4 linked regions of the Lepisosteus oculatus genome follow. The protein of the gene in region 2 interacts with the protein of the main gene of each other region in a biochemical or structural test. Links are inferred from orthologs where the notes say so. Each region holds a gene or a part of one and is shown on either strand. Other genes may lie near its edges. The genes, in order: pex12, pex5, ddo and pex7.

What was found.
Region 1: the proteins of pex5 (region 2) and pex12 form a complex in vitro, tested with the Homo sapiens proteins (2 studies listed by BioGRID). The link is inferred for Lepisosteus oculatus from reciprocal best matches to the Homo sapiens genes PEX5 and PEX12.
Region 3: the proteins of pex5 (region 2) and ddo form a complex in vitro, tested with the Homo sapiens proteins (2 studies listed by BioGRID, with this or other methods). The link is inferred for Lepisosteus oculatus from reciprocal best matches to the Homo sapiens genes PEX5 and DDO.
Region 4: the proteins of pex5 (region 2) and pex7 form a complex in vitro, tested with the Homo sapiens proteins (3 studies listed by BioGRID). The link is inferred for Lepisosteus oculatus from reciprocal best matches to the Homo sapiens genes PEX5 and PEX7.

Annotation. Positions count from the first base shown.
Region 1 is NC_090721.1:1,318,812-1,326,269, forward strand, and holds the start of pex12 (peroxisome assembly protein 12), read left to right. Parts: upstream 1-4,443; 5' UTR 4,444-4,720; coding exon 4,721-4,849; intron 4,850-5,712; coding exon 5,713-6,254; intron 6,255-7,050; coding exon 7,051-7,438; 3' UTR 7,439-7,458. Other genes in the region: ap2b1 (AP-2 complex subunit beta), read right to left, coding at 1,304-1,409, 3,090-3,126. UniProt on the Homo sapiens protein: Component of a retrotranslocation channel required for peroxisome organization by mediating export of the PEX5 receptor from peroxisomes to the cytosol, thereby promoting PEX5 recycling.
Region 2 is NC_090718.1:2,695,828-2,702,903, reverse strand, and holds the start of pex5 (peroxisomal biogenesis factor 5), read left to right. Parts: upstream 1-4,068; 5' UTR 4,069-4,070; coding exon 4,071-4,234; intron 4,235-4,695; exon of another isoform or gene 4,696-4,700; coding exon 4,701-4,860; coding exon of another isoform or gene 4,861-4,944; coding exon 4,945-4,980; intron 4,981-5,677; coding exon 5,678-5,801; intron 5,802-7,076. Other genes in the region: clstn3 (calsyntenin-3), read left to right, coding at 569-724.
Region 3 is NC_090697.1:33,063,141-33,070,444, reverse strand, and holds the start of ddo (D-aspartate oxidase), read left to right. Parts: upstream 1-4,294; 5' UTR 4,295-7,304. Other genes in the region: slc22a16 (solute carrier family 22 member 16), read left to right, coding at 2,231-2,340, 2,755-2,854, 3,472-3,687. UniProt on the Homo sapiens protein: Selectively catalyzes the oxidative deamination of acidic amino acids. Suppresses the level of D-aspartate in the brain, an amino acid that can act as an agonist for glutamate receptors. Protects the organism from the toxicity of D-amino acids.
Region 4 is NC_090697.1:2,535,221-2,542,309, forward strand, and holds the start of pex7 (peroxisomal biogenesis factor 7), read left to right. Parts: upstream 1-4,064; 5' UTR 4,065-4,271; coding exon 4,272-4,389; intron 4,390-4,915; coding exon 4,916-4,973; intron 4,974-5,640; coding exon 5,641-5,791; intron 5,792-6,726; coding exon 6,727-6,804; intron 6,805-7,089. UniProt on the Homo sapiens protein: Receptor required for the peroxisomal import of proteins containing a C-terminal PTS2-type peroxisomal targeting signal. Specifically binds to cargo proteins containing a PTS2 peroxisomal targeting signal in the cytosol.

The sequences.
Region 1 (7,458 bases), on a different chromosome or scaffold from region 2:
CACCAGGTGGTAACGCCGCTGACTAACTACTGTACTCAAATGAAGCGTAAATGCATTTTATGATTCAACACTATCATGACTTGGAACACAGTGAAAATTACATGCAAGTATGATTAATGACTGACAAAACTACAACTCTTTTCCCAAGATGATCAGACGACACAAAACACACACGTTCATAAAATCATATGATAGTGTGTTTTACCACAGATTAGAGGTGGTGGTGACCTTTATTCTCTCGAGATAAATAAAACATTTTCCACCAGCAGATAGAACACAACATCACTGTACCCTGACCAAGCAGAGACCAGCCTACCTGCTGACTTTCCAGACTCTTCATTTAGGATGAAATAAGTGAAAAAATATTCCATTATTTGAATTACTTTGCATGAAAGCCAATGACACAAAATAAAACTGAAAAAAACACTGGGAAGTCCACATGATAAAAAGTATTTTTGAAGCTAAGCGCTCCTGCAACGCAGGTGATGTTGCACCCAACGACTGACGAGGTAATCTTTCAAACCAAATGACAAACACAAAACTAATGGGACACCATGCAAATCAAACTGGAAGTCAACAAGGTCATTCATGGATGTAGTCTGAACGTAGGTAACAAATATCCACAGGGTGGCAGTGAATTGGAAAAAGCAACCTTCACAAAGCAGATTTGATGATTCTTCATCTCCTTCATGTACAATAAGCTTATTTTAACCACAGCCTACCAGGTACAGTGAAATGGTAGAATTGTGTCCGCACCCCAGGATGGTCTGGCGTTCCATCTGGGATGTAATAATAATAATAATAATAATAATAATAATAATAATAATAATAATTGCTTACACTTATATAGCGCTTTTTCTGGACACTCCACTCAAAGCACTTTACAGGTAATGGGGACTCCCCTCCACCACCACCAATGTGCAGCATCCACCTGGATGATGCGACGGCAGCCATAGTGCGCCAGAACACTCACCACACACCAGCTATCAGTGGGGAGGAGAGCAGAGTGATGTAGCCAATTCATAGAGGGGGATTATTAGGAGGCCATGATTGGTAAGGGCCAATTGGAAATTTGGCCAGGGCACCAGGGTTACACCCCTACTCTTTTCGAGAAGCGCCCTGGGATTTTTAATGACCACAGAGAGTCAGGACCTCGGTTTTACGTCTCATCCGAAGGACGGATGTAGTTCTGCCTTGTGTCCTATGTTTCCTAACCGATCCGACAACGGATAGATGCACAGAACAATGCAGCATCCTCATCTCCCAGCCTGAAGAGAAGCTGACTCAAGGGAAATGACTGTACCTGACATCCTTGCCCACAGTCATGGCGGCGATGACCTTCTTCACTGCCTCTTTCCTCTTCTCCTTCTTCTCATTGTTCAGCTCTGCCTTCAGCTCAAAGATCTCCCCTGAAACGGGAGAAAAGCACGGCGTCAGCACAGCGCACTGCCCTCTCAGCTCCAGTAACTAATCCATCCATTGTCTAACCACTTCTCCCAGCTCGGGGTCGCAGGGGGGCCAGGATCTCTCCTGGCAAAGCAACGGGTTCAAACACAGGGGGGACATACAAACTCCACACAGACAGCACCCCAGGTCTGAAACTGAAGCCAGTGAGGCAGCAATGCTAACCGGAGTCTTGCTCACTGCTCCATCACTCACAGCAGATCCCACTGATGTTTTAGTGTTGAAACCTATAGAAATCCATTCTTAAAACACAAACAAAATAACCCCATAAACATCAAAATCCTCACTTCTACACCAACAACCTCGTGATTTGGAACTGCAGAACCTTCTAACATGTTAACATGTTGCCGGGACCGAGGAGCTACAAGTGCATAGACCTACATAAATACATTCATACACTATAATAATAACACACTATGCACTCATATCACCACTGAGCTCTTAACACAGAGGAGGCCAAATCTTGTCCTGGAGCTGCAGTTTCACAGGTCTTACAGGTCATACTTATACGTTCAGTTTGTAAGCACCTGGCATTTTGATCGCTATAACTGATTTGGTCCCTTTATGCCAGAAATGGCAAAATACGATCCCTTATAGCTACGGGGAGGGGAAGTTGGTATCTTCATTAGAGAAATGATCACTAAACTACTACAAATCAGCTGTGTCAGTGGTCAAAATGAAAGTGCTCAAAGTGTTTGAGGGAGGCTAGATGATTTGAGGCAGGCCCATAAAAACTGTGGGATTGTAGCTCTCCGAGACCAAGGCTGCCCAGGCCTGTTGTGTGATCTCTTTCCGTACACCTGGTGAGCTACTCTCTTTCAAATGTTCTGGTCTGTTTCTAGAGTCCAGTCCTGACATTAGCCCAACTTCATAGCAAAACAATCAGTATTATATATATTTAAAGCAAAGACATGATCGTCAATTTCAGAAAGCAACCACCAGCTGCAAACCCAACAGTCCAAGATCGATATTGTGAACATTTACAAATATACCGAGGAAAACACAGATGCCCTATGTAAGAAAATCCAACAGCAACCGTTATCCTAAAACAATTCCACTATTTTAATGTCTGTAGTAGAACAGTGACTTTATTCTATAGAACTTTCATTGAATCTGTCCTGTCGTTCACTGCAGTAGCCTGGTTTAGTAACCTGAATACATGCAACAAAAACACACTGAGCGGGACAGTGAAGGCAGCCAGCAAAGTTGTCAGTACACAACAGCTACAGCTGTCAGACATCTTAATCAGACAAGTAGTGCAGAAGGCCAATATAATCACTGACTGTCATGACCCCTTGCTCAGTGAATCTGAACTCCTTCCATCTGGGTGTCGATTTAGACTGTCTGGATTCAAGAGCAATAGAACTAAGTCATCTTTTGCTCCTACAGCTATCAACCGGACAGTTATCATTTGGACAACTGATTATGAATTTCACTTTATTTATAATACTTTCTCATCGTACATGTACCTTATTTGTCAATGGGTTCATGTTGTGTTAAATATATGCTGTAAACGTATCATATCTTTTACCTGCAAAGGCAAAGTTCCAATCTGAGACGGAGTAAAATAAATAGACCATCTCGTGTCATCCATCAAACTCAAACACTCCCCCGAGAAGACTCACCTTTCTTGTTTGTGGTGAAGTACTTCGAATCCGTCATGACTGCAGTTCTTCAGAACAGCTGCGAAAAGGAAAAATGGAACACAGAGTACGTTACTTTGCAGAGAAACACCGGTGTATGCTGGATTTAGAAGAGCTTACTGTATGTTTTCTCTGGGACAGACATAAGCAAAAATACACTGATAATGTTACAAATACTGGAAAATTTTCATTTCCAGTCCCATATAAGGAAATACCTGAATCATAACACTATACAGTACATTTACAGCTCAGACATTGGAATTTGTGTTGGCATCGAACTGACCTATGGAGTGAACCACTTCACCGAGTTCACTGAAGGATATAATTTTTCACCTTGAAGGAAATCTTTCAGCCCAGAAAAACAATATTATCCTTAATCTAAGGGATTTAAACTAAAAACCTGTAACAAACATTGCTATTTTAAATATAAACAATGGTATATTAATCTGAAAATGTTGAACTGTTAAAATATATTTATTCCTTCAACATATTCCTGAGAGGAACCACTTCAATACTCCCGCAATTAAGACCTCAGACTCACGAGAGTACAAACTGTTCTGGTTACTGTCTAGAAGTATACAAATAACCGACTGTAGTCTTAAACCAACTAGAACAGCTGTACCAGTCGGAGAAAACCAGTTAACGGGTCTGGTTAGGGATGCCTAAAACAACTACAACACACTGGATTTAAATAGGCGGTGTGGCAATAATGCACATTCTCAGTAAGGCCTTTACGGGGGAAAAAAAACGCCCAGCCTATTCAGAAAGTATTACAGTTCAAAGTCAAAATCGAGATTTTATAGTCAATTAAAATTAATACGCAATCGCTATCGGTCTCCCTTGTCGAGCGCTGCATTTAGGCTTGACCTTATCAACCGACGCCTGTGAATTACATGTATGGAAATGTGGATCAAGCTCAAGGAAGGACGCCAGAAATGTTTATTTAATTTTCTCAGTTCTTATTGCATGTCCGCTTTTCCAGCAAATGCCGGAGAGCCCTGGACTGCGCAGCCCGGCTTGGGTGTGACCCGGCTCCCGCATCTGCCTGTCCGGGAAAAAACGGTGCGGTGGACTGGGCCTCCCCGCCGGTACCGAGGAGACGGGGACGCGACGCTCACCTGCTCTGGGTGATGGCGAACAGAAGAGCCGAGCGAAGAGGTGACAGAGGAAGCAAGATGCTGGTATCACGGACCAAGGGCGAGAGAGAGAGACACACACACAGGGAGAGAAACCGCACTCCCGGAAAAACAAGACGAGAGGCGGAGGAGGAGGGGAGAGACGCCGGAAGGAGCCAGCAGGGATTCCGGAAGGAGCCGACCGAACGATTTAAGAGGCGGACAGCAAAACATCTGGAGGCTCAGCGAGGGTGGGGAGATTTGCGAGCTGCAAAGAGGAGTTAGTTTGTCTGAAAGCCTCTTATTAATCCAGTTTGTTTTGAGGGGAACTGTTTTAACTACTGGGGATGCGCAGTGATCATTGTTGCGCCTAACCAAGAACATCAACAACAAACCACAAGGACAGGTTATCGACCTTTTTTTTTTTTAATTCATGTTAGTTGTGCCCATCTGGGATTTCAGCACTCCGCCTGCAGAGATCAAGGGCACCTCGGCGCTATGGCCGAGCGCGGAGCCCACCTCAGCTCGGCCTCGCTGGAGCGGGACGACAGGCCCTCTATCTTCGAGGTGCTCGCCCAGGACTCGCTCATGGCCTCGGTCAGACCAGCCTTGCAGCACGCAGTAAAGGTGGTGAACCAGCTCATTCATTTCCTGCTACAGCATCTGGTGTTGCTTCTGCGCCTTCTGCAATTTGTTCATAAAATGCTCATAAAGCTGAAATTTATTAGAAGCGTGAATGCAAAGGTTAATGACTAAATGTAAGGACCCACTTAACTGAAACACGTTTTGTTTTCCTAAGAGGGTTCTGTGACATTTACCTTGCAAAACAGACTTGCCTCCAGCATTTCTAGCCTCTTGAGGCCATGATCATACACAGGTTTTTACTATCCCTCTCCGATAAAGACAGGAAAAATAAACTGAACAGAGACAGAACTGCATTCTTGAACATGATTAATAGGCTTTGAAATTAATCAACCAGGGGGAGGCACGGTGGCACAGCGCTCAGCATTACCGCCTCACAGCGCTGGTGCTCTGGGTTCAATTCAGGACCTGGGGTGCTGTCTGTGTGGAGTTTGCATGTTCTCCCCATGTTTATGTGGGTGTCTTCCAGAGGCTCTGGCTTTCCCCCACAGTCCAAACAGAGAGGGGTAGGGAAAAACTGGCGCTAGTGTGAGTGGCTGTCTACCCTGGCATGGACTGGCGTCCCGTCCAGGGTGTACCTTGCCTTGCACCTGTTGCTTGCTGGGATAGGCTCTGGCTCCCCTGCCACCCCGCTTTGGATAAAGCGATGAGAAAATGATGGGCTGGATTAATCCACAATCGCCCATTATTCTTACAGTGCCCCAGAGAGGAAACGTGTGGAGTTCTGCTGTACTGTCCCTCTTGCCTGTGTGGAAGTTCTGGATGTCCACTGGGGACGAGGGGCGGGGGTGGGCGCACCTGCTTGAGCTTCCCTGCACCGAGTGATCCGAGTCCCGTTCCTCCTCCAGGTGCTGGCGGAGTCCAGCCCGGCCCGGTACGGCGGCCTGTGGCGCTGGTTCGACGAGATCTACACCGCCCTGGACCTGCTGCTGCAGCACCACTTCCTGTCCCGGACCAGCGCCTCGTTCTCCGAGAACTTCTACAGCCTGAAGCGCGTGCCCCCCGGGGCCGGCGGGCGGCTGGCCAGCCTGGGCCTGCCCCGGCGGCAGCGCTGGCGCTCCCTGCTGCTGCTGGCGCTGCTGCCGTACCTGCGGGCCAAGCTGGAGGGGCTCCTGGGCCGGCTGAGGGAGGAGGACGACTTCTCCATCCGCGTGCCGCGCTCGGCCTGCGGCCGGCTCTGCAGGGCCTTCCTGGCCGCCTGGCCCTTCTGCAGCATGGCGTGGGAGGGCTGGGTCTTCTGCCAGCAGCTGCTCTACGTCTTCGGCCGCGCGCGGCACCACTCCCCCCTGCTGCGGCTGGCCGGGGTCCGGCTGGCCCGGCTCACGGCCCAAGACATCCGAGCCCTGGACCTCAAGCCCACAGCGGCGTCCACCTCCGCCTCCCCTCTCAGGTGCGCACCGATCCTACATCTCGCAGAGGTCCTCCCGGGGCCCTGCTGTCCTCTCCTGGCTTTGCCCCAGTGCCGAGAGGGCCGGCTGTGCACTGGTGCAGATCCAGTCTAGAGGAATCCGTGACAGCACAAAACTGGACAACTGCGCATCTTTTCTGCATCGTGCCATGAGTGCTTCACCAAAGTTAATAGGGCATTCGTGTCCTGGAAAGCTTAGTGCCAGGGTACAAAAAAAATGTTATCAAAGCTGTCTAAAATACCCACTATGTGCCTGCAGGGAATTATTCATTTATACCCAGTAAACATTTCAAGAGTGAGCAGAAGTGTCGAGGCAAGTCTTCGCTGCATGATCCCTGCGCACTTCAGAAGTTCAGTTTGGACGCGTTTGTGGAAATGTTAGCACGCCCAGACTGGCAGTGTGGTGCAGAGTTTAACACCGGTGCCGAGGCCCTGCGTTCAATTCCAGACCTGGGGTGCAGTCTATGTGGGTTTCCTCCCATGGTCCAAAGACTTACTGGTAGGTTAACTGGCCTCTAGGGGAAAAGTGGCCTGGTGTGAGTGTGTGCGTGCCCCACAATGGACTGGCGTCCCTTCCAGGGTGTGGCCTGCCTCGTGGCTGTTGCTTGCTGGGCTCGGCTCCGGTTCTCCTGCCGACCTGACTTGGATGAAGCGGTTAGAAAAGAAGGGGTTGGTGGATATAACCAATCCCGCTCCGGAAAAAAGAATTCCCTGCGGAACAGGTCAGCGCTTAAACGAGGCCCCGCAGTAATAACTTCATTTCGTTTTCCTTTCCTAGTGCTGGGGAGAAGCTGCGCCATTTCCTCAGCACCGCGGTGGGGGGGGTGGCCGTGTCCATCTCCACCGGGCTGTCCGTCGGGGTCTTCTTCCTGCAGTTCCTGGACTGGTGGTATTCCTCGGAGAACCAGGGCACCATCAAGGCCCTGACCTCCCTGCCCACCCCTCCCCCTCCTCTGCACCTGGATCAGCCAGAACTTCCTGTGGGCAAGAGCGAGTGTCCTCTGTGCCGCAAAGCCCGCACCAACGACACCGCGCTGGCCACCTCCGGCTACGTCTTCTGCTACCGCTGTGCTTTCGCCTACGTGAAGGCCCACCAGCGCTGCCCGCTGACCGGGTACCCTACTGAACTGCAGCACCTGATCAAGCTCTACTGCCCCGAAGGGTAGACCGCTGGAGAAGCGTCAGT
Region 2 (7,076 bases):
GATAATAGTGCTGTAGAGTGAAAAACACATTGAGATCAATGATAATAGTGCTGTAGAACGAAAAACACACTGAGATCAATGATAATAGTGCTGCAGAGTGAATAACACACTGAGATCAATGATTATAGTGCTATAGAGCGAAAAACACAATGAGATCAATGATTATTGTGCTGTAGAGTGAAAAACACACTGAGATCAATGATTATTGTGCTGTAGAGTGAATAACACACTGAGATCAATGATAATAGTGCTGCAGAGTGAATAACACACTGAGATCAATGATAATAGTGCTGTAGAGTGCATAACACACTGAGATCAATGATTATAGTGCTGTAGAGTGAATAACACCCTGTGATCAATGATAATAGTGATAATAGTGATGTATAATGAAGACCACATAGTTTAAATCACCAAAACATATATATACACTTAAATATACACCGACACTACAGCTGCTCAGCTTCCAATAGCTGACTTTCATCATTCAGTCTCTGCATTTGTTTTAGTATTAACTCCCACTACCTCTGCCTCTGTCTACCGTTTCTCCCCCCACCCCGTTATCTCTCAGTCCTATGAGTCTCGAGTCTCAGGAGACGGAGGAATGGATGGAGATGAAGAAGAGGAAGGGGAGGAGTCTCCAGAATCCCCCCCTGGAGATGCCCCAGACGACCAGCAAATCATCATAAAGAGAGATTGCCGGGAACACGCCCCCCGTCGCTACTGATATCCAATCACAGCAGAGTTAAGAAACTGGGATACTTGCAGCGGCCATCTTGGCTCCGTTTTCCCTTCACTTTGTATAACGGCTTGGCTGTTGCCCAGTATCCCAAATGGCTTCTGTTTCCTCAGAAAAACCGTTCAAGCCAATTAGGTCCAGACTGCACAGGAGAATTTTGTCGGATTGGAAACTGGAGCCCTTGGTGGCCTTTATTCCTCTCATCCCATGCTTGTTTCGTTTTGGAGTTTTGTCCTACTTTTGAGCCAAAATGGATCCAGCTTCTTAATCCTCCTGTTACGGTCTCCAAGTGTTATTTATTCAGCAATTCCTTAGTATATCCCCCATCTCTTTTTCCTTATTAATCAGCCAATGAAATTAATGGAGCCCATGAATGACTCATGAAGACCAGCTCTAGAAACAACAGTATAAATGCCCTTACTGCTGAACATCACCGGCACGCACACAACACAACCTCATTCTATAATCTACTCAATAATACACAACCTATTGTAGAGTTCCATGCAATCCACACACGCCACAACTGTAGCTACTTTCCGGCAATCCGTTTAGAATATTCTACACAAGTTGCAACAGGTTCTGCACCGTGTTGTGCTGCGTGCACAGCCCAGTGTTTCGTACATAACCTACAATATGAACTCTGCATACAATCAGTACCACACGAGCCCTGCTTATTCAACCTGGATGTCACAGTTCAGCACAATATCTAAAACCTAATCCCTGGAACTGAGTCTTTGACCCACAATTTGTCTGAAATACACTCACCTGTGTAAATCTGGGGTGTTCTAGTACACACCAATTTCTAGTGGGCCATCTAACACCAGAATCCACAGTATACGGACAGCACAGGCAGTAAACGCACACTTTCTACTCTCAAAAACTACTACAAAGCTGCTGATATATAAAGCCCCTTCACTCACCTCTATCTGTTGTCCACATCGTGCTTCGTATTCAGTGTTTACTACACAATCGTGACTACACAATCCTCCTACACACTCTCTATTCAGAATGTCAGCCCAGTTACTGGGTGATCTTGATTGTATTGATTCCTGTAAATAGAAAAATATGTTATTATTATTATTATTATTATTATTATTATTATTATTATTATTATTAGCTGCAGCTCCCCCGCAACTGTGAGGGGGCGCTGATCTTTGTTGAACTGTCATTTTTATTTCGCCAATTCACAATGACTTGCTCTCCCGCCCCCCCCATTATTAGCAGATAATAATAATTCTAATAATATCTTGCTTGTTGCGTGTTTAACTGAGTTGTGTGTCTCCGCCCTGCAATGACCAGCGTCGTGTAAATTTGATCTGAGTGTACTAACCTTGCTGTTCATTCCTGTGGGTACAAAAAAACAACTTGTCCTCTCTCTCTCTCCTCCTCTTTTTACGTTTCTCTGTCTCTCTCAGTCCTGTCTCTACCTCGGGATTTTCCCCTCCTCCCAGGCCCTCGATCTGTCCTTCTCCTTCCTCGTCTCTTCCTCCTCCACTGCTGCCTCTCTCTCTCGCTCCTTGTTGGTGTACAGTGACCGTGTCTGTATCTGAGCCAGTGTTCTCCTTGTTTTATTGACGTCACGGTTCTGCAGAAGCCTCTTATTATTGTAATTATTCTTCTTCTTGTAAAACAAGATTCCTAATAAAACAAAATGCAAGAATGATGTCAAAATAGCTGCTGGTCTCCGCAGTAGAACTGATCCACGCACGCGTGCGTCCGACAGGGCCTTTTCTGACATCCCCCCAAAAAACGGCCCTGCGTTCGTCTACAGTATTGGCGATTTGTTTTCGTGTTGTGTTTCCCAGAGCTTGAACTGAATCGGAGAAATCTCTAATCAAGGCGTGGGAGCGTGCATTTGAACAGACGCGGGTGTGAGCTGCTCGTTATGTCCGATTGGATGAAAAGAGCACAGGTCAGCGCTGCTCCCAGCGACTGTGTCACTTCCAGGGACATCCAAAAGGGGGTAGTCAGGGCGCAGTCCGTGATACAAGAGCCAGGAGATCCATCCAAGAAGAAGAGGATTAAAACCAGGGAACGGGGAACTAGGGCCAGGAACAGGGAATTTAAAAACATGATGGGAGCAGGCGCTCCGAGGTCAGGACACTGGGGTGAGGGCCTGTGCCTGCTGCCCCTGAAGCCTGGGAGCAGGCGGGCCTTCGGGTGGCCATCTTCCAAAGCTGAGCCCGGAACTCCGGAGACGCCGGATTTATATCACAAAAAAAAAAGGGAGGAGGGATTTTAAGCAGGACAACGGGGTTCATGTCCTGTCTCTTACAAACAGGGCCCTGGGATTGTCCAAGACAATCTGTTTAAGGTCTCTTAAACCTCTTAAAGCAGGGGTCTGTAACCCTGGTCCAGTTACTCCAGGGGTCTGTAACCCCGGTCCACTGACTCCAGGGGGTCTGTAACCCCGGTCCAGTGACTCCAGGGGTCTGTAACCCTGGTGCCCGGTTCATTTAGTTTAACCAGTCACCTGTTTTTAAAGATTGGCAATGGCTGTAAACTATCGATGAATAACAGGAGAAATCTGTTAAACTAAGAGAACTGTGGTCCTTGAGGGTTGAAGAGTAATTTTAAACCTAAACATTCTAAACTACTTAATTTAATAAATTAGCTGTTTGATTTATCAATGGGACTGAATGTTCTTTTAAACTGGCCACTTAGTGGTTTTTAAATCTGACCAGATCAACCTACAGAAGTGTTGGCGCGTCAGCCAAAACATCCGTTGTAACATAACGCACTCCCGTACCGCAACTGGTCTAGGGTAACACGTTTTAAAATAATCGTGTGTCTTAAAATCGAAATAAAAAAACGGTCCAACTGAGATCTTAAAGGATTTTTCAAGGCGAATCGATCCCTGATTGGGTGCTCAACTAGTCGGGTCTGAGACGGAGGGAAGGAGGTGCTGCACAATGGACTTTGTTTAAAGGTTGCGCAAACCTTCCCTTTCGCCTCCCCTACACGTTTTGCGTAACCTCCGCCCTTCACCTCCACCGCTCCATCGGCGGACGCTGTTGGCGCCACGTAAACCTCTTCGCAGAATCTCGGCGGCGTTTCCGCATCAGCCGCAGCCGGAGCGGCGACTCGCTACGCACTTTGCGTAGCTCCGCCACCCGTCTGCCGGGAGCTCTTGCGCGGCCGGGCTTCGTGAATCCCGTCGGCCAAATAATGTTAAATTAAAGGAGGCGTACGGTGGCCGGTGCTGTGCCTGCGGATCCAGAGAGGGGGAAGCGATTGGAGGATTACGGCAGACACTTGACCGGCTGGGTACTGCGGTACGTTGACATTGCGCCGAGAGGGAGGACGGCCGTGTGACGGTGGTCTGATAAGTTATATGCAGCGGAGGGGGGGCGGCGCACTGTTGTCCCGTCCGTCTCTCTGTGTTGTCTTGGCTCGGAGGCGGACAGCCTTGCCTCTGTCTGTTCAAAAACAGCCCCCTGCCTCACCGTCCTCTACCTTGGTCTGCCCGCCGGTGGCCGGTGAGCTGTCCTTCAGCAGGTGAGCGGACAGCGAGTGTACGAGGGCGCCCGCACGTGTGGAGAGCCGTGTGAATCGTGTGCTTGTTGTGGCTTCAGCGTGTCTTTCTGTGATGTTGTGACTTAGGGGAAGGGTCTAGTGTGTGCAGGTTGCGCTCTCTGTGCATAGCTAAATTAGGTATTTTCCAGTGTCTTCCTACTCTGTGTGAGGAGTATATTCTTTTGCATGGAAGAATGAACCTGTTATATGTCAGTAATCCGCTCTCTGTGTGTCACCTACAGTGAATCCAATTAGCTCTGAGGTCACTTTGGGGCTCCTGCTTCTATATTATACAGTCTTAAATATATCAGTTTATATAACATAGCCTTCAGGCAGTCAAGGCTGTCTCTATGGCATAATCGTCTGTCAGGCTGTGTGTCTGTCTTTTATCCTTGTGTTTATATTGTATCCCTGTCTGTCTTTGTTGCTCTGTGATTGGTCAGTTCAGGTTGTGGCTGCCAACTGATTGGCCGGAGCTGGTGGCTGCCATGGCGATGCGGGATCTGGTGGAGGGGGAGTGTGGGGGTGCCAATCCGCTCATGAAGCTGACGGGTCACATGACCCAGGACCGAGAAGGCGGAGCTTGGAGACACAGGGCCACACCCACTGTGAGTCACATGGAGCAGAGACATATTGTTCTGATCTTGGAAGTTTTTCCTCTTATCATAAACGCCTGTCTCTCTCTCCCTCAGATTCCCACTCCTATTGAGATTGCCACTGAAGATGACGTGAGTAAAGTTATTATTAGTCACTTGTTTGAAGTAATTGAAGAAAGAGATGTAGATCGTTCCAATATTACAGGAACAAGAGCAACAGCAGCTGCTCATTATATTTGCCAGCAGCTATATTATCCTGCAACTCACAACTGGCAGCCCCACTGAAGCTCAGCAGGGATGAGCCTGGTCAGTACCTGGATGGGAGACTCCTGGGAAAGATAAGGTTGCTGCTGGAAGAGATGTTAGTGGGACCAGTAGGGGGCGCTCACCCTGAGGTCTGTGTGGGTCCTAATGCCCCAGTATAGTGACGGGGACACTACACTATAAAAAGGCTCCGTCCTTTGGATGAGATGTAAAACCGAGGTCCTGACTCTCTGTGGTCATTAAAGATCCCAGGGTGTTTTTTGAAAAGAGCAGGAGTGTAACCCCGGTGTCCTGGCCAAATTTCCCCCTGGCCTTTACCAGTCATGGCCTCCTAATAATCCCCATCTCTGAACTGGCTTTATCACTCTGCTCTCCTCCCCACTGAGAGCTGGTGTGTGAGGAGAGGACTGGCGCATCATCCAGGTGGGGCTGCACACTGGGGGTGGTGGAGGGGATCCCCATTATCTGTTACGTGTCCCAAAAAGCGCTACAGAAGTGTAAGGATTCAATTGGATTTATTGTTGTAATCACAATGGGTTGCCAGCGTCTCTCTGTCGCCCTCTAGCTGGTTAGCGAGTTCCTGCAGGACGCGGCCCCCCCCCGCCCCCCCCACACCTTCAAGATGGACGACCTGCTGGTGGAGATGCAGCAGATAGACCAGCAGAGCTACAGACAGGCTCCTCAGAGAGGTACCGTCTCTGCTGTCCTGTATCACTCTACCCCAGGCCTGGTCCTGGTGTCTCCCACACCTCCTAATTTCCCACGTTCATTAGATAATTGAATCCTTACTGGATCTAAGATCCAGTTGCTTCATTGGAATATTTGCGTATTGCCTCTGGTCATAAGTTGGCCGATTTTACTTTGCTTATAAAATGCAATGGTTAAGGATCCAACATGTTTAAAAGGGAACTGCAGTCTCAATTTCTTAGACCGGTTATTTATTCTCGTAAATTCATTGACGGAACAATGGATAAATCGTAAACTTTGTGAAAGTGCTGTATAGTCGCCACGTTGTGGCAAACTCGCATTGGAGTTCCCACAAATTGGGATGTTTTGCAGCCCTTCCTGCTCACTAGTCCCAGTAATGACTGATGTGCTGTGATGGATGAGCGAATAGGTACAGGTTGTGCAGCAGACATTTCGCCACAGAAATGTTCCAGCGTGATCTGCAGGCAGAGTGAACCAGTGAGTAGTATTTGTCAGTGGAACCATCTGGAAGTTGAGAGCATTATTTCTCCTGGATTAAAAGAGAGGGATTCACGAGCCTGCTTGTTTAAAGTGTAATAGAGCCGCTTCACCTCACCAGAAGTTTTGTTGTTCTGAATCGCAGAACATGGCGCTGCACAGACCTGGACATTTACTTGTGATGGAAATTGGAGGTTTTACAAGTTACTGTGCACATCTTACTTCCATTGTGGTTTGAAATGCACTCATCAGTGCTGATTCCTTCTAATCCCCGAAATTTAAAAATAGCATTGCAGTTCCCTCTTTGAGAGCTGGGAGAAATCGGTTCAAATCCATCGCGTTATTATGAAGTGAATTGAAGGGATGGATTGTGGAACTGAGGGCGAGCCAGCGGGTGTATGGGGGTCACCAGGCCCAGGACTGCTGTTTCACTGTTTCCCTGTCTGCCAACAGCCCTGTGCTCGGTCGCTGCTTGTCTCACGGGCTACAAGCCAGGCTTGACAGCTAGGATGTGTGGTGCATTGTGGGGAAACAGTAGGCATGTCTTGTTACAAACCAGCTGATACTCTGGGACGTGACCGCAACACCTGGTGTACTAGACATGCACGACAAGGAAGAACAGAGGAGAAAATAAGAGTCAAGTGCATTTGATTTGTGCTTGTAGTTGAATGTGTCCTGAAAGTTTTTCAATATTCTGGCCATTCCTGAGCTGTTAACAGGATCAGAGGATGCATTCTGAAAAGGTATTTGATTGCTTTTGCTCTGCAGGTTCCTGAACA
Region 3 (7,304 bases), on a different chromosome or scaffold from region 2:
TTGACTACGTGCAGCCTTAAAGGGTAATTGGGGAGAATCAGGTGAATATCCCAATCTAAAGTTAAAGGTCTTCTATAGGTAAGCAAATCTCTTTCAAATAAGTGTTTCTAGAAGAACAAAGTAAATCTTTTAAACAAATGGCTTTCTTAAACGGCTTTCATTTTTGTAGTATGTCTTCAGGTGAATATACTCTGGGTAGTCCCTTTATTATTCAAATTACTTTTTGTTATTGTTTGATGGAACATTTTCTATTTTCAAAAGAAGCTAGTTTTGAATTATCCTACCGCTTCATATGTAGCAATTATAAAAAGCGCTAGAAGGCCTTCTCTTTCCTCAGACTGTGGTGTAATATAACTGTGATGAATAACTGTGATGAATTGTGCCATCCAAAAACATTGGGATAGCAAAGTCAAAATTGTATTTTTGCTTTATAGTCAAGAAAGTTGTATTTATGATGAGATTGCCCCTGAAACTGGGTCACTTGTTTGTTGATCATGTAATGAATGATGTTCCTGAACTTTCCAGAAACATTTTGTCTGTAAAACTTTCCATACAGTACATAATGGGACTTATGTATTTATCACATAGGAGTTGGTCAAGAGAAAAAAACTGGAAAAATCTTTGATCGGACAAGTAAATCTCCATATTTAAATTAATTTACGCAAGAATTATACATGCTTAACAAATAAAATAGAAATCAGAACACACTAAGAACAGGGAAGAGCTCAAAATAACTTCATCAAGGTACTTCTAATGATTTAAGAGCTTGATGAGCTCAGTGCAACTCAGATTTCATTCAGTTATTGTCTACATGGCATAAAGGAATAAGGAACCATTTACTGACCTTTACACTTTAAACTGAAGGTATCCCAATATCTAAGGTCACTTGAATCACTGGGTTGGAGACAAAGCATGTTTTTGTTCTTGTGTGCATGTATGCATGAAATTATAAAATGTATATTGTACTTATTTTAGTCTCAATTATTTTGGTCTCAAGATCACAAACTGTTTGAGTAAAGTAAAAATAAGTTATGAATTTGTTATTCCAATACCTATGGAGGGCACTGTATATAATACAGTATATTCTGCATAATGTACAGTGCCCTCCAAATATGTACAGATGTAGCCATTCAGAATGTGCATTAAAATCCTGTAACATGTTACAGGGGCTTCGCTTTGCTGCGGCTTTCTTTGTCGTTGTGATTCACTGGACAAGGACGATCGATATGTAGCACTTGTGTACGTTAGATGTTAGTGAAAACATGAACCTCCCACAACAAAAATAAATGAAATATTAATACTTTTTTATACTTTTTAAATCCACTTAATATGTAATAATAATATGCAATCATGTAATCATGTAACTAAAGGGAAATTTGGAAAAAATGTTTCTGAATGTCAAACGTTAAATTATATTTAACTGGTTGGCATCAAATTTAACTTGGTCACCTGTGGTTAATTTGGAAACATTTTGACGTGTTTATGTATATTCTTTTTCCTTTCCTTTCAGCATGGAATGAACCTTTACCTGCTCTTTTGCAGCCTATGCATGCTGATGCAGCTACCTACACAAATTTGTTATAGGCTTACTGCTCCGTATCCCTATGATCCGTATCACAATAAGAACCAGGTTTAATTAAAGAACAAGGGTTCCTATGACTGTCAAAAGTACAATCTTCCTTTGCACAGTTTTACATTCATAGCATTAATAGTCCTACTCATTCTGTTTTAATGATTAAAACATATTTTGATGACATTTTTTTTACTATGGAAAGAAAAGTTCAATGGCTGTAGAAGATGGGGAGAGAGATTTTCTTAAAGCCTTGCTTTATTAAAGGCTGTATTGCCTTTCCCTGTAAAAAAAAAAAAGCTAATTGTTATTAAGATATTAGTTTTAGATTTACAGTTGTCTTGGAAATTGTATTTTTAGTGAGGTCACTACTGAAAGTATGTAGGTGTGGTGAAGCATCTTAGTGTATTTGCTCTTAATTCATAACTGGATTTTGTTGATTAGTGTCCCTGTTGCAGATACTGCTTTTGTGTCTTTGATCAAGGTACTGTACCCCAATTGCTCCAGTGCATCAAGCTGTATAAAAGGAGAATATAAGCTCCAGTCTTTAGTATTGACATTAATTTTTTAAACTTTCATATTGAATCTAAGAAGTTGGTTTACATAGATGTAATGTTTGTTATGCACTTTTACTCAAAAGTATGTTCATTTTCTTCCCAGGACATTGGTGTTTTGGTGATCATTCTAAGCATGACTGGAAAGTTTGCCATTGCAATTGCTTTTGGCCTTATCTACTTGTATACATGTGAGCTCTACCCAACTATAGTGCGGTATGTATAATTGATCAAATCATGAAATTAATTTGAGGACTTGTAATGATATACAATAGGTGTAATGATTTTATTTAAAATTATATAAGAACTTGGAGAACTCTTAGATCTTTAGATCTCAGCTTTTCATCTGTTGTCTTACAGTAAATTCTGTGAAGGAAGTTAATGATAAAAAAAATTCAGGTTGCTGCTGCAGGTGTTGGTGGTAAACCAGTAGGTATCTCATCCTTCTGCAGAATTTCCAAACCAGTGCCCCAGTAAAGCGACTGCAGACACTGTTCTGTGCTAAGGAGTTGCTGCTCTGTGGATGAGGTCCTTTGGCCATTTTTCAAAAGAGGGCGATAACCCAGATGTAATCTCAGCAGACACAAGTGTAAACAGTTAAAGAATTCCTGTTTTATTTGCCTGCCTCAGGTCTCTGGCTGTTGGAAGTGGAAGTATGATGTGCCGTATTGGGAGTGTAGTGGCCCCCTTCTGTGTGTATTTATCAAGCGTTTGGACCTTCCTGCCTCAGGTAATACCACGGGGATGTCTCTGACAGCTGCACTAAAAGCCATGCAATTCTTTTGCAAATACAACAGCTACAGAATGAGTTGGGGGGGGGGGGCAGAGTCAATAAACAGTCATAAGAGAGGAATTAGATAATTATATGGGGAGATTTCAATCATTTTATTATATGACTGCTTCACAGCTGCCTTTCTCTATTTTTTTTCTTCCATGGTACTGCTAATTTAAACTTTTGATTTTTGTCATTCTTACATTCTGAACTCCTCTTTTGAAAAGTGATTTGTAATTAACATAACATCAGTTAGTTTTTAAAGGTATTCTTTGTCCCACTAAAACTAAAAAACTAGTTTTTTTTCCAGTCGAAGCTAGCATACATATTCATTTAATCCCCTGGGATGTTTAGGGGAATGTTTGTGGCAGTGTCTAAGGACCTGTAAAGAAAAGGCCATCCTTTCTGTATGTCTCCCTTTTGTACACTTTATTTTTACAGATTGTTTTCTTTAAAATGCATATTTTAAATAGAAATAGTATTTCTGTTAATGTTATACTGCACTCATGAAACCAAAACTGTAGGTTAATGAGTGTGAATTAGTATTCATGTATTATCTCTTATTCCCCTTGTAGTTAATTGTGGGGATTCTGGCTTTTGCCATTGGCTTGTTAACTTTGATGCTTCCTGAAACCCTTGGAAATCCTCTAACAACTACCTTTGAAGAAGCAGCAGCTCTGGGATCTAAGGTAACCAAGACAGATAGACAGGTCACTGGAGATCTTGGTGAGAAAATGGAAATGGACTATAATGCTCTAAATATGGTGAAAGCAGATGACCTACACGTCTGAAGAGAAGGGCTTTAATAAATGCCGGGGTTGGACTGATTTTGTGCACAATTTTACAATTTTTAACCATTTTTAACGTTCTTCCTGTTAACCTGTCCAACTGAATGAGTTATTTAAATAAGCATTTTAAATTGGAGGTACCAGCCTCACATGTCCTCTTGTCATTTTTGTTTCCTATTCCTAGAAGTGTTAAAAAAAACGTTTGATTACCTGAATGTTATGTGATCTGTATAAATATAATTTCCTTTTATGGTAGGAGGTGGCAGCATCGCCTTCCCAGATTTAATAGACTGTGTTCTGTATTGAGTACAGCTACTCTATTGCAATACGATATGTGGGACTGAAAAACTACCTCTGGCAATTATATCTGATGTACAAAAAACAAACTCTGTCTATCTGGTCCACCAGTGTTACTAATTTAATGACTTAATTTAATTCCCAAAACAGTTCCTAGAATATTTTCTTTATCGTAAAGATATTTTTTCCTTATTAAATACTGATTGTATATTTTGTTCCTAGTTCATTGTGTGAAGTGTTCAGTTGAATCATCATGTTCCTGTTTTGTCCATAAAAAGAAACTCATAATGATAGGGTGGTGGAGGGATTCAGACAGCCTCTGCTTTGTTATTTGCACTACGTGCACTTTATGGATTATGTAAACTGGCACTTTCCCAAGGCTTTGTGTAGCCCGAATCAAGTCCAAAGCGAAGCTTTCTAAGCTCTTGCACAAACACATTTAGAGAATTGCCATTTGTGATACTGCAGTGATCCACCCTTATTCACCCTGCCTGTGTCTGTGAGAGAAGAGAAGGCAGCAGAGCTGAACTGCATGGACGCCAGGGTGTATTGTCCTTTCATGGCTTACAGGTGCGCGTTTGCTAATCACAGATGGTAAAGAGCGAGAACACAGGAGCTCGCAGTTAAAAGAAGGTGGTGGTAAAAGAAGGACATTGTCCCCCATTCATATATTGGGGAAAACAATTAAAATAATGTTGAATGAAAAAATAAAACACAATAACTGGAATAATTAAACATCAATTTAACAATTCGAATTAAACAATAATTTCCGGGATCATCAATGTTCCCAAGGAGCATGGAGGAAAAAAAAATAGAGGATATCTTAGTACATGTATATGACATCTGTCTTCCAATGTGCTCTTGCTTGACAACTGACAAGATTCATGTAGCAAAAGGTATTTTTAGCTGAAAGCGAGTCTGGAACCGTTTTTTTCATCAATCTGCTCTCAAGTGCAGGTTAAGTGAGCTCAAGAGTAAAAATAAAAATCAGAAAAAAATCCATATGACTTGAATATTAAAAACATAAGTGTTCAACAGGTTCAGTATTTAACTGTGTACAATTTAATTATATAAAGTAAACAATGAGGGCATACATTTAGCTCAATCCATCAGCTTAGTGGCTCCTCCATGTCTGCAGAGCTAAACAGTTGCAGAGAACCAGAACACATTAGGTTAGTGGGGTTGCTTAGTGTCCTTTTCAACTATCCAACAATATGAAGTCTGTCAGTAAGCAGACCTGAGCATTGCGTAGATCTAAGAGGTCAAATGTGGAGTTAAAAAAAATGCTTCTAAACCTCTCTATATAAGAGGGGGAAGTACAATCACTTATAGACCTGTGAGGAAAGATGCCCTAATAAGGTAACAAAAAGGGGAAGTTAAGAGGTGAAATGGTCAATTACAAAGGCCATCTTAGTCAGTTCTAGGGTTGGACAATTCTTAAACCTCTCATTCTCCAGAGCAGAAGAAGCAAGAAGCAAGATGCAAGTTTCAGCTGCCAACAGATCTGAAGCACTGGCATTTCAGGCTATTACTCATGTAAGGGAACATTACAGGTGTTGGATTCAATAAAGACCAGATATAATTTTTTCAGGTTTTTTTTGGTAACCCAACACCACATTCTGACATATTGTACCTAATTTTAAAAGCTGTAGCTTAATGAGTACAAAATGAGCAGTAATGATCAGTGAATGAGATCAATGTCTTTACATTGAATTGCCACAGCCTGGAGGAAAAAGTACTGCTGCTGCAGAAAGCTATAGCCTATATGTTCTCATTAATTGAACACATGTGACTAGGTAACAGGTTGCTCCTTTTTAATTTAACCAGCAGCATTTTAAGAAATGGGTTGTTAGTTCTGCGAGCTGTTTCATTTTTCATTATGTGCATGTTAGTGATTTTTGTTACACTTATGACTATATGTGAATTAATGAAATGAAAGGGTTTTCACTCATTATAATCAGTTCTGATAAAGGGAAGACTTCTTCAAACCACATTAGCTCCAGGCTGGAGTTGAAAACACCATGTAGAATTCCAGCACAACTACTTTTGACCCACGCCGGAAATAATCCAAACTGTACATTGTCTCATTTCTGTTATAGAGCATGTACCCTTTTTCAAGCGTCCCCTGCACCTACAGTAGTTGTTAGGTTATTCACAGCATACCTCATCAACAACTTTCAAGAAAGATGTTGTTACAAGCTGTCACGTCTGGATGACCATGTAGGAGGTGCAGAAAGTGAGGTTTCAGAACTTGATCAATTAAGCACTATGTATTCAGGCTGCTATTAATTACTACAGGTGGAATTGTTAATGATTATACACTCCTGCTGAGATCACACTGCTTGGACCTCTCCATTAATGTGTCTGCTCAACACAACAAATGGCATATAATTCTACATGTCTGCATGACACATGCTGGTCTACTGGGGTGGTCCATGCAAACCTTGATTCATTGCTAAAGAAGGCTTTGCTCTACTGTTGACCAGTCCACCTGAGAAGTTGCTTCAGCATACCAGTGGCACAAAAGCATGCTCTTGGTAAGTGGGGCGTATTGGTCTTCACCTGGATTGACAGTCAGCAGGTGACCTTATCTGTGCCAACTGACACATTCTCTAGTAAGGCTATGTAGTTTTTGTGCAACACAAAGCCATTTGAGTGTATCATGGTCAGTTAAACCATTGTCATAGTTTGCTTTCCCTTTCTCTTTTTGCCTGTCCCATCACGGACTTTCACTGGGGCAGGCACACGCACTTTTTTTTCGCACTAAGTTCTTGTTCTTGCCTTATGTGCCCTGCTCACCAGGCTGGACCCCGCTAAATGGGGTACTGTAAGTCCAGTCTGGTCACCGCTGTGCTAGCGATTCTTTTTCCCAGGTTTGACCCCGTTAAATAGGATAAGCCCAGCCTGGAGGTTACAAGACACAGTGGTACTCTTTCTTTTTTGCCTTTTTGTTTATTTTTCACTCTTTTTGTATTATTTCTGGTCCCTGCTAACCTCACACTGGTGCTTCTGTCCCCTCACCCGGTGCTCGCTAAGGCGCTTCCCACTACACTGTCACAACAGTAAAAAAAAAAAATTACAGACATTGGTGGAGACAGCCTAGGCCATCATTAATAAGGAACTCCCCTCCATTTAAACAATTCACTTGGCACTGCCTCAGAATGCCCAAAATATAATCAAGGATCAAAACCACCCTGCGCATGCATCTTTGTCTCTTCTTCCTTCTGGCAGAAGAGTTAGGAGTATACAGTAATTGCCCAAACCTCCGAATTCAAAGAAAGCTTCTTCATCATAGCCATAAGACTTCTGAACACCACCTCTTA
Region 4 (7,089 bases), on a different chromosome or scaffold from region 2:
AATACCGAAAAAAAAGACTTTAAAAATAATTGGTCAAATGATACTACTGTTACTTTTTTGTTTTGCTTTGTTACTTAGTGTTACCTGTAAGTTGTAACCTTTTTTATTGCTATGCAAAACGCCTACCGATAACACTGATTAAAATATTTTTGAACATGGATGGATTTACACCGTCGTTTTTCATTTGACAGTTTTTTCAAGCCAACAATGTGGAACTGGAGCTGTGCATGAGTGCATCTTGGTTTTAAAATATTATGCTAATATGTAACATACATAGCAGCATGGGAATCTGCCGTACAATTCTAAGGAAATGTACACAGACATACAAAAAATGTTATTACCAGAATTCGCATTAATGTTTCTCAAAAATGTCTGGAAGAAAATATCAAGTTACAGTAGTACTGCAATTTACTACGCTCTCGATTAGCAGTAACGTTAAATTATGCAGAGATGCTGACGCGCTTTTGTCATGAAAGTCAAGACATTAAAGGATTAGAATATATTGTCTATTCCAGCTAAGAGAAGCTGCCCTTTCCAACAGTAATTTGTTCATTTATTTCCACTGGGATGCTTCAAAACAAAAACGCCATTTGCAGAAGATTTGCACTCACAGCTGAGCCGGCGGAGTTTATGTAAAGGAAAAACAAAAGTAACTGTTCAACATCCGCTATTCATGGTCCATCTAATACAATTTGTTTCAATCAGATAATGGTATTCTACATTATTCTACAGTATTTCTTTATGTCAAATATCATGTGTCTGATCTGGGGAGTGTTGCAACCAAATCAGGCACCAGGCAATATTCAATACTTCATTGATAATACACTGATAAGTTCTGTAATAATCTATTGTTTTTCCTGTGCATGGATCTTTGCTTCTGGCTGAGGAATTTCCATCCAAAAGACTTAATCCAACAGGGAGAAAAGCAAGATCCTGACAAATACGGTGAAACCACAGATTTTGTGCTATGATAATAATATTTCAGTCTGCAAAAAGTCAGGCTGTTAAAAGGCTTCCTGGGAAGATGTAATGTTTTCGTCTGACCAAAACATACTGCGGGGCTCATAATGAAGGCAGCACATGAAAGCAAAACAACTCTGGTCACTCCTACCAAGATGGGCCTTTATGTGCTGCTAATCCACTCTCTTTATCCTCCGGTCTGTTAGAAAGATTTACATTAGTAAATCACTGTCAGACCATTAAATTCCTTAAGAGAAAAAGTATCAGCATTTCCAAGTGAATGGGGATTACGACACACAGTGCCTGCTGCCCACTGACAATCATGGGAACAGAGCGCAGTCATAAATCCACGGTTATCTGGTTTAGACTGCCTGGTTCTCACGCCGCAGTCGCTCCTTTGATGTGGCCGTCGTAAAACACGGACACATGATCAGCGGCTTCGGAAACATCAAGTAGTAAGACTTGCAGAACGGTCTTAAACTGAACGCAGAGCCTAACGGGTGTGTAGGAGAAACTTTTTTTATTAATTAAAATGCAGAAGACCCTGCCTAGTTCAACTCACTATATGAGTGAAAGTCCAGCTAGCAGTTCTTAGAACGTGCTTACTTTCTTTGAAAAAATTAATGGATTGTTCACAGGACAGTTTTTCTTTTCATTGTATCTTCCGAGCTATGCATTTTTTTCTGGAACAGATTACTGTAGTTCTCTGATGCTTTTTTATATTTTTCTTAAATTAAGCTTTTTTCCTAATGTCATGTGACAAAGTGTTGATTTTTTCTTAATTATAGTTCAGCTATGGAGTAGGACTACTGTTGTTTTTATAACTTGATCGTGTGATGATAAGTGTTACAGTACAGTTACCGTCTGCCTTTTCTCTTGTAGGTTTTCAAGACATTTCACAGGTCATTACAGCTGTGTTTAACAATAGTGGGGAAGTGAAACTCTGGACAATACCCTGCAGAACCCCATAGATATTGTACTGTAACACAATTCCAGTTCCACCGAAGAGCCATGTACTGACCCCCTGACAGCAATATATTAACAATATAGGACTGTCACATAATAAATAATCACCTGGAAAACCCTGACATGGTTTAAACACTAGGGTTTATTACACAAATTATCATTAAGAAATCTATACATTATTATAACAGTAGGTGTAAGGAATTCAAAATACAATGACAATCACATTTTTTTGTTTTTTTGAGTCAGTAGGACTGGAGGTGATGATGCATTCCAAGAGTTAGGTTTCAAACATGCTCTGGAAGAAAACACTGTTAAAACATCTAGACAATCTACTTAACAGCAATATGTTCTTGGAAGTTATTGGAGTTTTTTTTTGTTAAAAAATGAAGAACGTTTGGGGAACATTTCACACTACTACTGCTAATAATAATATGAAAAAGATCGGAAAGAAGAACTAAATCATTTTATCACTAAATATATTAAAATCGTTTGTCTGGTTGAGTTATTTTTAATTAATCTAAAAGGTGTCTTTATGCTAGTTATTGTGAATTTAATTTACACTTAATTTTCATGTACAATATACTGGTCTGCATGGACATTTCTGACTGGATTTGTTTGCAAGAAATGGTGTAACCTAATTTTAACTCAGTTGTCACAACATACGCATTATATCTGTATAACAGAAGAAACAAGGAAAAATAATTCATGCCACAAATTCATGCCACAGTGAACTGAATCCATAGCACTGAGACTAGCACAGTACCCCAGTGCCAGGGAAACAACTATAATAGCTGACTTTTAAGTACAAATTGAGGCAGTTATAATGGGGACAGACCTCTGTGCCCAGAACTGGAATGCCCAGGAATCAAGTCCTCATGAAGAGAAGGTGAATAAGATCCATTCATCCATTTTCTAAACACTTCATCCAGTTCCAGGTCCAGGGGAGCAGGAGGAGTCTATCCCAGCAAGCAGCGGGTGCAAGGCAGGATGCACCCTGGATGGGATGCCAGGCCATCACAGGTGATGAACAGGTGATCACAGACAGGCACAGAAATACACAGACTCTCACCAGGGCCAATTTTCCCAGAATCCTATCAACATATCTGTACAGTATGTCCTTGGACCGTGGGAGGAAACCGAAGCACCCAGAAGAAACCCACAAAAACATGGGGTGAACATACAAACGCCAAGCAGATAGCACCCCAGGAAAGGATCCCAGGGCTCCAGCAATGCTTAACCCCTGCACCACAGTGCCACCTGTGAATAAGATCATCAGCAAAAAAGTGAAATAAGCATAAGGAGTGCAACACTGCATAAAGTCTCTGATAAAAGAATTTAGGTACAGGGTCTGTTAAGGGGTGATAGTGATCCGATATTATTTTTTTCTTCTTTGTTATCACCCAGACAACAAATAGGCCTCCACCTGCCTGTTGGATACTGGTATGGTAATTTAACAGTACTTTTAAAAAGTAATGAATAACCGAAAAGTTCAGGAATTATTATTTTATATCGGATTGTAACATTTCATTTGGATTGATATCTCGTTGGCCACATCATTATTTGCCAAAAGTATTTAATTAATACGGATTCCACACATTTATGAACACACCAATATACTGTATACTGTATGTGCAACATTGACGCACACGTACATATATGTGCAACAACAGTGACACCTGGTGATGACTGTTGTGATCATCACTTTGAAATTTATTTTGAAAATAATATGAAACATCATCGGTAGCGTTGAAATGATAAATCGCGTTATAAGAGCTCACTGTAATAATAGTTCACACAAAAAATGCCAATATTAAGATAAGTTACAAATCACAAAAGGACATAAGCTCATCTTGCTTATTTGGAAGGATTTTTATATCATAAACATGAATGTATTTTGTGCTTTGCAATCTAATTGATTTATCAAGTGTACTATAGCCCCGTGTTCAAGTTAACTCGGACAACCGGGCTGGTTAATTTAATGCTAAATTGCGAAAAGGTGAAGAGCTTCCTGGTACATGACCAATCACAGCGCAGCCACAAAAACGACCAATCACAGCGCCCAAAAAAAAGAAAGACCAATCACAGTGCCCGGAAAGAGACCAATCACAGCACCAATTAGAGCTCTGCGCTCCGCAGAGGCTGCTGGGAGCAGGAAGTCGATTTCGACCATGAGACGCTATGAACTATTATGAGCCTGTAGTAAATAAGGTTATTTAGTTTGATTTAAATCCAGTTCGTGTCAGTTGAATTTGAGTACCTTATGTCGTTTGTATTGGAGATGCAAGCGGCTGTTATGTTTAAGACGTAGGCAAAGCGGGCGAGACTGGAACAAAACAGTAAGGTTAATGGCTGAAGTAATGAGGACGTTCCGGTCCCCAGCTCGACACGGTTATGCAGTAGAAGTGTCCCCGTATTTTCCCAACAGGCTGGCCTGTGCCACGTCTCAGTATTACGGAATAGCAGGTGACCCTTCATTCAGTCGTCGTGATCGTGGTTATCCTGCATGAAGTTCGCTTAAGTGTGACCTGAAATGGTCAAAATGTACATTTCAAGCTTTTTTAAAATCACATTTTCATATTTATGTTAAAAAACAACTAACTCTTATATAGTAATTGAAGTTTTTTTAACAGAAAAATATGGAGTTGATATTTTTTAACAACCATCAATTCATCAGCTACAAAGCGGATGAGTTTATTTTCATTTTAGTTTAAAGTACATGTAAGGAAGAGTCATTTTAAAAATAAAAGTAATATTACTCAGATGTAAAAATAAATAATAAATAAAGAAAATTATGATAGCATTTCTGAATCAGAAAGCTTGTCGTGTGTCCTAACCTCTGTATAGATCTGTTCACAGTACCATAAGTCCTTTAATATTGTAAACCAAAACCGAAAAGCACCCAGAAAAAAAGCATACTTTGTTTCTAATACTGCCCCCTCAACGAAAAGCAAATCTTCACAGCTTACTTTTTTGTTTTGTGTTTGTTCAGGTTGTGGAACACTGCTGGTTCTGGAGCAGAATGACATTGGTATTTCTCTCATAAAGAGGTACATAAAACTACTTGTTGCCAAGACTGATTTATTACTATCATTGTTTTTTACTGATTTCTTTATATATGTATATGAAACAAAGACAACACTATTCATAAATAATTTCAATATCATCCTCCACAATGCAAAAAAAACACTGTGTTCCTGTTGAGAAAATAGGGACACACATCTTTGTGAGCACATGCTGAAAACCATCTATTTTTTATTTTGAATAAAAGTCTTTGTGTTGATCATATTGGTTCTGTTCAAGAGAGACGTCCCAGAGGTGTGGGGTACAGGTTTCATGATGGAAAGCTTGTGGGTTCAAACCCCAGGTGGGGACAATGATGTTGTACCCTAAGGCTTTCACTTAGCTCGAGTGAAATGCGCATCTGTATTAATGAGCACAAATTTAAGTCCGAGTAGGGACCTGCGTTAGCATGCCTAGTCTGCAAAGGAACAGGTAATGGTTTTCTCCATGCTGAAAAGAGAAGAAAAGAAACACAAAGTTTTGGCTGTTGGAGCTTCAGGCTCCACTCCTGACAAAGGCTCCACAGCCAAGACGTTGTCATACTTTTTTCTTTTCCTTTCAGCATGGAGAAAACCTTTACCTGTTCCTTTACATATCTAAGTCTCTGTGGGTGACAGAGTTGGACTGATAAGTATTATAACCCTTCTTGTTCAGTTTTGACTGGAACGATGGCCTTTTCGACGTCACCTGGAGTGAGAGCAACGAGCACCTGCTGGTGACGGGGAGTGGAGACGGATCTCTCCAGATCTGGGACACAGCTAATCCCCTGGGGCCGCTGCAGGTGCTGAAGGAGCACGCGCAGGAGGTGACTGTTTTTACCTGGGCACAGGCGGCATTTCTGGAGTCTGTCCGGTCCTTTTCACAGACACACTGGTTGGTTAATTGGCTTCTGTGAAAACTGGCCCTGCTGTGGGTGCTTGTGTCCGTGTCTGTGTGGGCCCTGTGATGGACTGGCGTCCAGTCCAGGGTGTATCCTGCCTGCCTTGCGCCTGTTGCTTGCTGGGACTCCCCAGTGACCCAGAATTGGATAAAGATAAAGATTGGAAAATGCATGGATGGACATGCCACATCATTGACTGACTGCTCTCACTGTTCTTATTATTATATTACAACTTGGTAGTTAATCATGTGGGTCAACTGGCATGGTCTTTGTAGGATAAAAAGCATCTATGTATTTTTATTTTCAATGTAGTCTTTGTAAATAATAATACCAAGCTGTAATACAATCAGATACATTTGTAATGATAAAAAATGTGGTTCCATTTCTGTTGTCAAATTTATAGAATAGCTCTTGGCTTTTTTCTTTCTTTAGAGTATCTATTCAAAAGTTGCATTTGTTATTTTGAAGTCATTATGACTTATTGTTCTTATCATCAGTAAAAATAAAATGGTATGCATTTTAATTTTCTCAATCTCTTTCTAGGTTATAGGGCTTTTTTAAAATACTTCTTACTGAAAGTTGGTCTCTGTAATGTTTTAAATAACGCTTATAGGTATTATTTTAACCCAAGCCTGTGGATATTCAAGCAGGGATCTGCGTCAGCATTCATAGGCTACAAAGAAAGAAGTACAGGTTTATAACATGCTGAAAAGAGAAGAAAAGAAACGTAAAGTTTCGACCGTGGAGCCTTCTTCAGATGTCAAGGTCTTCTTCATTTGTTCTATGAAGCCTGTAGATATTCTCTTTGTTTGTTTTGTGAAGTTGAATGACTTAATGTATATGAATCCCTCTGTGTGCAGGTGTATAGCGTTGACTGGAGTTTAACCCGTGGTGAAACATTCATAGTTTCTGGTTCCTGGGACCACACTGCTAAAGTGGTAAGATGTCTCAAACAATCATATAGTGATGTGTACACATAGAAATAACTGAAAAAGCTTCTTCTGGCTTGTGGTATTGTTTTGAAATATCCTGGATTGATATGATTTTGTTATTTCTTCCATTTAGCTTTGATTACCTATGCAAAATTTTGCAAAAGAAATACCAGATTATCAGTATTTTCTAAACATGAAAACAATGATTCAGTTCCGCTTTACAAACAGAGAAATCATCCTCACTGTGTCGAACACAAACGTTAAGTAGATAGTCATTGCTGCAGATAGCAC